Arabidopsis thaliana: one gene and its partner. The protein of the gene in region 1 interacts with the protein of each later gene in a pairwise test. Each region holds a gene or a part of one and is shown in the gene's direction. Other genes may lie near its edges.

Region 1 (3,758 bases):
GTTCTATATCCAACCATATGTTGTATTATAATATATTTTAGGTCTAGATTGATCCAAGCTAAAATTTTGGATTCTTTTTTAAGATAGGACAAAATAATTATTGCCCTATCTTTTACGTAGCATAAGAAATGTACATATATAGATGTATATGCAAAACCTAATACAAAAAAGTATATTTTCCACATCCAAGATAAATTATTGCGTCTCATCTATCACAATGTGAACAAAAATAATTATTTTCTTCTCTTAGTTACTATGAGTTCACAATATAATACTTTTCTTTAGGTTAAAGCTCTCAACTGTTGATGAAGTACAAGAACTCAAAATTGTGAATGAAAAAAAGGGACATCATCCAATATCAGGCGTGTACATATTAGCATTGTTGTGTATCTTTTTATATTATAGTCCATTAGTCCTAATCGATAGATGTATTTTTTTTTGTTTTATTAGTTATAAAAACAGACATCTATTATTAATTTGTTATGGTTAATTGGTTATTGTATATTATTATAGTAGAAGTGACGTGAGGTACCAACGTATTAGATTATAAATATAAATAATGGCCAAAGACAAAGCCATTTGTCAAAACTTCAACGTCATTATAACCTGTAAGATTAAAAATGAACAATAAGAAATCATATTTAGCAAAAAAAAAAAAAAAAAACAATAAGAATCATTTGTCAAATCTTCAACATCGTTACAGTGTATAATTTATATTTTGATTTTTTGTTCTAAATGATCAAAGTTCATATATAAAGTTATTTATATGCTCAAATTTAATCATCGAATATATATACAATTTGTCTATGTTATTTGTCAAAGACAACGTCAGCAATAGTTCCATATACTCTCTTTTTCTTTCGGAGTCTTTATATTACTCACGGAGATATTAAATTATATTTATTTTTTCACTGAGATATTTTTTTTTTTTTGGTTTAATGTTAATAAACTCACTGAGATATTAATTAATACATGCAATCTTTATCTATATTTCCCATTTTTATTTGTAAATGTGTCCCTTCTCGTGTTATGCGAGGGTCTTTTTTTAACTTTTTAATTTCTCATTTGGAAGCTTTCATCTATAAATATATGCACTAGCTTATTCTATATATAACATAAAACCGAAAAAAGGTTTTGTTCACGATGTGGATTCTCTGTTCACGAGAGGTTTTGTTGAAAAAGAAAGAAAGAAAATAATTCAACTTGAATTTGGAAGTTTGGTTACAGATCACATCATTCGACAATAAAAATAAAGACATATATAACAATTAGAACAGTAACTAATTTGAATTTCAGCTTCGATTTCTTACGAATCACATGGGGTCAATAAGGGTGGGGCTAGAAAAACACGTACGTTTGGAGACCAATGTGTGTATCATTCCTGCATGCGCATCAGATGTGTTTCACTCTTCAGAAAAACGTTTATTTTATTTTGCATGTCACAGTCGTAGCTAATTATCCGTACGCATCTTAATTACGACTCCATTTTACACACCAATTTATGGATATATAATTCAGACAAGATGAGTTCTCGTTTAATTTTACTTCTTTCCATTTGTGGAAGTTCATATACTATTGTGAAAATTTGAAAATAACTGGTGAAAGAGGAAACGTCCATATTTGTGGGCTCTATTTATAATAATAACAACAATATTAATTGTTTAGGTAAAAATTAACAGAACTATTTTGAATTACAATCGGAAAAAGGTTTGCGTCAAAAAAGTATTGATGAACCATGCATTTGATATAAGCATTTATGTTTGTTCAATTTACTATTAAGCAATTAAGTCGAATTTTATCGAATCATTTTAATTTTTACCTTTAACATTTCTGTGATCTTGAAATCTTTAAATTAACAATGTGAGTTATATACACTAGAGAAAAATAATTGCATTCCACTGAAAACCTCAACATCTTGGGAAATTTAAACTTAATCAAAGACATCGCAAATGTTGCTTATCTTTTTATCAAGCCCAGCCCACATATTCGCGGCCCCAAAGCCCAAAGGTTAAGCTGACTCGTTACAAAATAAATAAGTATTAATAAAGGTTTTTGATTGGCTTATTTCGGTTTAAATTTAATACCATATCTTTCGGAAGATCACGTGAGACACATGTGACATCCAACGAATAGCCAATCGCTGAAAAGTGAAGACTTTTTGTTACCCCATAAACAAAAGCATCATCTCTCTCTCATCTTTTATTTTTCTTTTAGAAACCAAACTTTTCAGATTTCTCTCTCTCCATTTGGCGATAGAAGAAGTCATGTACCAATCATCATCCTCCACGTCATCATCATCGCAGAGATCATCGCTTCCCGGCGGCGGAGGACTGATCCGTTACGGCTCAGCTCCGGGATCGTTTCTAAACTCTGTGGTTGACGAAGTCATCGGAGGAGGCTCATCAAACGCTCGTGACTTCACCGGCTATCAACCGTCGTCGGATAACTTCATCGGTAACTTTTTCACCGGAGCTGCTGACTCATCCTCGCTGAGATCCGATTCGACGACTTGTGGAGTCAACAACTCATCCGACGGACAGAAACAGCTAGGCAATAACAATAATAATAATAGTAATAAAGATATCTTCCTCGACAGATCCTACGGTGGATTCAACGAGATCTCGCAACAACACAAGAGCAACGACATCGGAGGAGGAAACAGCTCAGGATCTTACTCTCTCGCTAGACAACGTAGCTCTCCCGCCGATTTCTTCACCTACCTCGCCTCAGATAAAAACAGTTAGTCCTTTTTTTACTCAAGAATAGTAACTGTGATGAGATATATATATTTAGACAGACAAGTTTACTCATTTTCAGACCATTTTTCCTTAGAATTTGCCAAAAATCGTAATGTAGAATATGAGCTATATAGTTTTCAGTCATTCAATCATTCATTGCTCAACTAAAGATCCGTTTTTTGGTGAAATGAAAATCTAACCACGAGGGTATTTTCGGTATTTCTCACTGTGAAGTATCTAGTTTCTTACAAGTTAATTAACGACTATGTATATAAAATAAGTTGACATTGTGAGCTTTGATATTTAGGGTCGTTGCTAAATTAGCTTGGTTGGTACTTGTGCAAGACGTGATCCTCGTATTTTCGGAATGACGAAAATACCATTTGATCCCTAACCACGTGCTTGAAAATACAGCAAAAATGTGGCTCGGTTACCCTTAATTTGGGATATTATTTAAATCTTCGAGGATTCCTATATCTCAAGTTGCATTTATTTATTTAGAGGATGGATTTTTTCGTTGATGACCAATAGTTTCTCTGCTGAGATGGCGAAATATCATTGGTTGTGATGAAGATTATTCAAATAGAAAGCGATGTAGATCTAGTTGGTGGATCTGATCTGTCCACTTTTATATTATTTTTTCCTTGGTCCTGATGATTCGTGCTTTGCTTCGTTGTTATCTAATCATAATATCTTCCACCAAGCCTGGATGTGACTTCCCACACCTAACCGGTCACCGGCCTGAACCGGAATTCAACTATCCATATTATCCAAAAATCCCTCTTTATTTACTTACATTATATGGTTTCTAATATTTTGGATGTGAATGTGAATTATTTTTAAAAATAATTTTCACGTAATGTCATTATAATATAGTTTACTTTGTAAATCAGATTTCTCGTTGAACCAACCAACCAGTGATTATAGTCCGCAAGGAGGGTCTAATGGGGGACGAGGACATTCCAGATTGAAGTCTCAGCTAAGCTTCACGAATCACGACTCTCTGGCTCGGATCAACGA
Region 2 (3,758 bases), on another chromosome or scaffold:
TATCGAGTTCGGATTAAGACTTTGATAATCTATAAATACTTGAGTTGACTTATAATTATCATGATAAAGTTGAGCGGTGGTAGTTCAAAGAATTTTTAGTCTCAATCCATATAAGAAAGGATAGGAACAGAATGCATTGATCCATTAAAGGAATGTCAAAAAATTTCAATATCACTACATTTAAGGAATGTCAAACTTCTTCTAACTACTTTTTTAACTACCAAAATCTGAACAATTATCAGTTTCAAAATCAATCTCCTAACAATCCCCAATTTATGAAGGCTTATAGCAAAAATAAAGACTTGTTTTAATTAATTTGGACACAAAAACCCCATCTTTTTAAATTAAACTTTTGCTATCATCCTTCATAAACTCTTGTTTATTTTTTATCCGTCTTTTTAGTGAAATAGATCATAATAATATCATTTTAACTCCCAAAATTTTTCTAATTACCTTTTTAACTACCCAACATCAATCTCCTAACCATCAACATAATATAACAAATTATGGTTATCCACCAAATTTCTTTATATCGTCAACTGTTCCAAACTATCCTTCATATTTTAAAATATTTAATTTTTACTTATTTTAATTTTATTTGATATTAATTGTAATTAATTAATCACAAAAAACATAAACATAATTAAAATAAAAAATATAAAATAATGGTAGGGTAATGTGTTGTAATTTTATTAAACAAAACTATTGTAGTAAGTAAAAATTATGTAGGTATTGAATTATAATGTGGAGTGTTGAAAAGAGAAAAGTGGACATTGTAACCATGTAACTAATGTAGATAGTCTAACAGGTACACTAGTTGTACATGTTATTTTATCAACAATAGTTCTCTTCCTACTAATTAGAACAATTCAAGTCTAGTATCCATATATTATAATATAACATCTTACTAGTGCATGGGTTATTCAAAGATTCAATGATCATACAAAACATAAATCTACAAACTAAAATTCCCAAATAAAAATCATAAATCAAAGCCATCTCATTGAAGTTTCAGCTTTAACAAACACAAAATTAGCATAAAAACGATCAAAGAAAAAAACCTAAAAATCAAAACTTCAACTTCCAATATCTCTATTCCAATATCTTTCCTTCGATTTTTCTGTATGTCTTCCAAATTCTTTTTGTTTCCCTAATTGCTCAAGAAGTAATATCTTCGTCATTCTGTTTTTATTCAAGGTACATAGAAAGATTGATCCTAGACTACATCAAATTGGGTGTAGTCAGTGATATAGCTTCCCCGAAGTTAGCGGTTTTCGAAATCTTTTTGAAGCGGTTTCATATGATCGACCCAGAAGATTTTGGTACTACGACGTGACGAGTGGTTTTCAGAAGAACACATCTTCTACACGTGTCTTTAGGCTAAATTATACGTGCAAATATTTTTGCTAACTTCATTATGATTTAGTTATTTGACCGTTAATTTCCGCTTGTATTCCTCTTTGAGCTTGACCATTCTGTTTTTTATCTGCTTTTGGTTTTTAAATGAAATCGTTTGGTCCGTCCACAAAAAAAAAACAGTACCTATCCTCTAAGCCCGGCCCATCCCGGCCCATCCCGGCCCATCCCGGCCCATCCCGGCCCATACCGGCCCATATTTTAGTAATTATGGTTCCTATCTTCGTCTTCTTCGTTCAGAAATGGGAAGCGAGAACCATAGATTTACGTCAAGATAGCTTTTTTTCTATCAAGAATCGCAAAGCTATTTCGCGTAACATTACAATCGTCGTTCAGAAGAAACGAATTGGGTTTGACAAAGCTTCGATATTCAGGGAGATTTCTGGGTTAATTTGTGAAAGAATCAGAGAAATTTAGAGTTTTTTTTTTGGGGGTAAATTTGAGATGAAGCCACACGAAGATTGGGTTTATGAATCATGGACAGTAGATTGTGTTTGTGGTGTGAATTTTGATGATGGTAAAGAGATGGTTGATTGTGATGAATGTGGTGTTTGGGTTCATACATGGTGTTCTCGTTATGTTAAAGGTGATGATTTGTTTGTTTGCCACAAGTGTAAGATAAAAAACAATGAAGATGAATTGTCCAAGTTATCGGTTACTAAATCGTTGAGAATGGAGAATTTATGTACGCAGAGTAGTGAGAGTGTTGTATTGAAGGCTTGTTCAGAGATACCAATTGAAGAAAGGGTTCATGTACAAGGAGTTCCTGGTGGTGATTTGGGTTTGTTTGAATGTGTTTCTTCGGTTTTTAGTCGGCAGTTATGGAAGTGTAGTGGTTATGTGCCTAAGAAGTTTAGGTTTCAGTGTAGGGAGTTTCCTTGTTGGGATGAGAAGGAGAATGTGTGTGATGTTGTTGGGGATGAAGATGATAGTAATCTTGCTGGTGTTTTGTTGTCTATGTCGAAAGAAAACGGTGTGGATGGTAAGGGAGACAATGCTAGGAATTGTGGTTCTAGAGAAATTGAGAGTGATGTAGAGAAAGAGAAGAGCTTGCTTTGTGATCCTTTGAGTATATATAAGAGGAGAAACGAGTCGGTGGGTGGTTTTGAAGATGGGGTAAAGAAGAAGGTTAAAGTTGCTGATAAAGAGGAAGAATAATGATGTAAGAAGGCTTTGATTTGGATACAGAAGAGGCATTATGTGTTACACAACCAACATTTCTTATTTTAATAGATTTCTTACACAAGAATGGTAAGGTTTATAACTTTGTCACTAGTTTAGATTCTTAACCTTATATTCAGATATAACCACAATGGTTCATGGTTTCATTTGTCTTTGCAATCAACTAACAGTTGTAGGATACTTAACATCCACATAATATGCAATAAAAAGTGTAAATTCTTTCCATTGATGATAAACTCGATTGCTTGGTTTATAAGTTTGTGTAGGTCAAATTAGGAGCAAGAAAGGCTTGTTTTATCTTGATGATTAACTCAATCTTAGTCATTCATGTGAGCGGTTCGCAGTTTCAGGATTAGTAGGCGCTCAAAATCTTGAAGGCTTCGCGGACTCTCCTCGCCCTCCGTCCTTCCATAGATGAAGTTGAATTCTCTGACAATTCTCACCATGAACAATTTTAGGTGATTTCAAATAGATAAGAAAGCTCTTGTTGGAAGGCAGTGCACTAAAGGGTCCTGATATCCTACTTGTATTCCAAAAAACTCTTCTCTTGAATATGAAAGGCTGCAAAGCGTTGGTGCGACTTCCAAATTGTTTCCGGAACTTACGGAGTATATGCAGAATTTTGTGCTTTATGGAACAAGAATAAACTTGAAATGCCAAAGTTATTGCATTGCATTGAGTCTGTTTTATGCTTAAGTGCAACTGTGCAAGCTAACATCAGCCATCTGATATGGCTTTACTTCAAGAATCGCTAGAAGCTCAAATCTTAAGTGCCACATGGTTTATGTTTGATGTTTTGTGTCGCTTGGTAGGCACATATTTAGTGGCCATTGTTGTAGGATCCAAATCGCTAAGTAAAAGAAAAGTCTCAATTCTATATGAAACTCATGTAAATCCATTAAAACTCATTGGAGAAAAGCCCTTAATTATCCATATAAGCCCGTAACGAGAGAGTAAACCTAAAATTTCGTTAGACAAAAAGAAAACCCTAGCCGATTAATATCCTTATAAATAGATAGGTAGTCTCCTTAATTTTCTCCTTAGTCAAAATCTTAGAGAGAGTCCGAGGAAACCCTAGCCACCGTCGTTGCCGTAACTCGTTCGCCTGAGGATAATGATCAATTGGGTTTATGCTAGAGTTAAATCGGGTCTTGAAAAGA

Evidence for each region. Proteins that work in one complex are often made in the same cells at the same time.
Region 2: the proteins of AT1G05805 (region 1) and AT4G10600 interact in a two-hybrid assay, tested with the Arabidopsis thaliana proteins (one large-scale study listed by BioGRID).

What each region holds. Positions count from the first base shown.
Region 1 is NC_003070.9:1,742,579-1,746,336, forward strand, and holds the start of AT1G05805 (basic helix-loop-helix (bHLH) DNA-binding superfamily protein), read left to right. Parts: upstream 1-1,865; 5' UTR 1,866-2,264; coding exon 2,265-2,739; intron 2,740-3,631; coding exon 3,632-3,758. Other genes in the region: DGL (alpha/beta-Hydrolases superfamily protein), read left to right, coding at 1-41.
Region 2 is NC_003075.7:6,546,750-6,550,507, reverse strand, and holds AT4G10600 (RING/FYVE/PHD zinc finger superfamily protein), read left to right. Parts: upstream 1-1,629; 5' UTR 1,630-1,860; coding exon 1,861-2,574; 3' UTR 2,575-2,667; exon of another isoform or gene 2,668-2,839; intron 2,840-2,942; 3' UTR 2,943-3,273; downstream 3,274-3,758.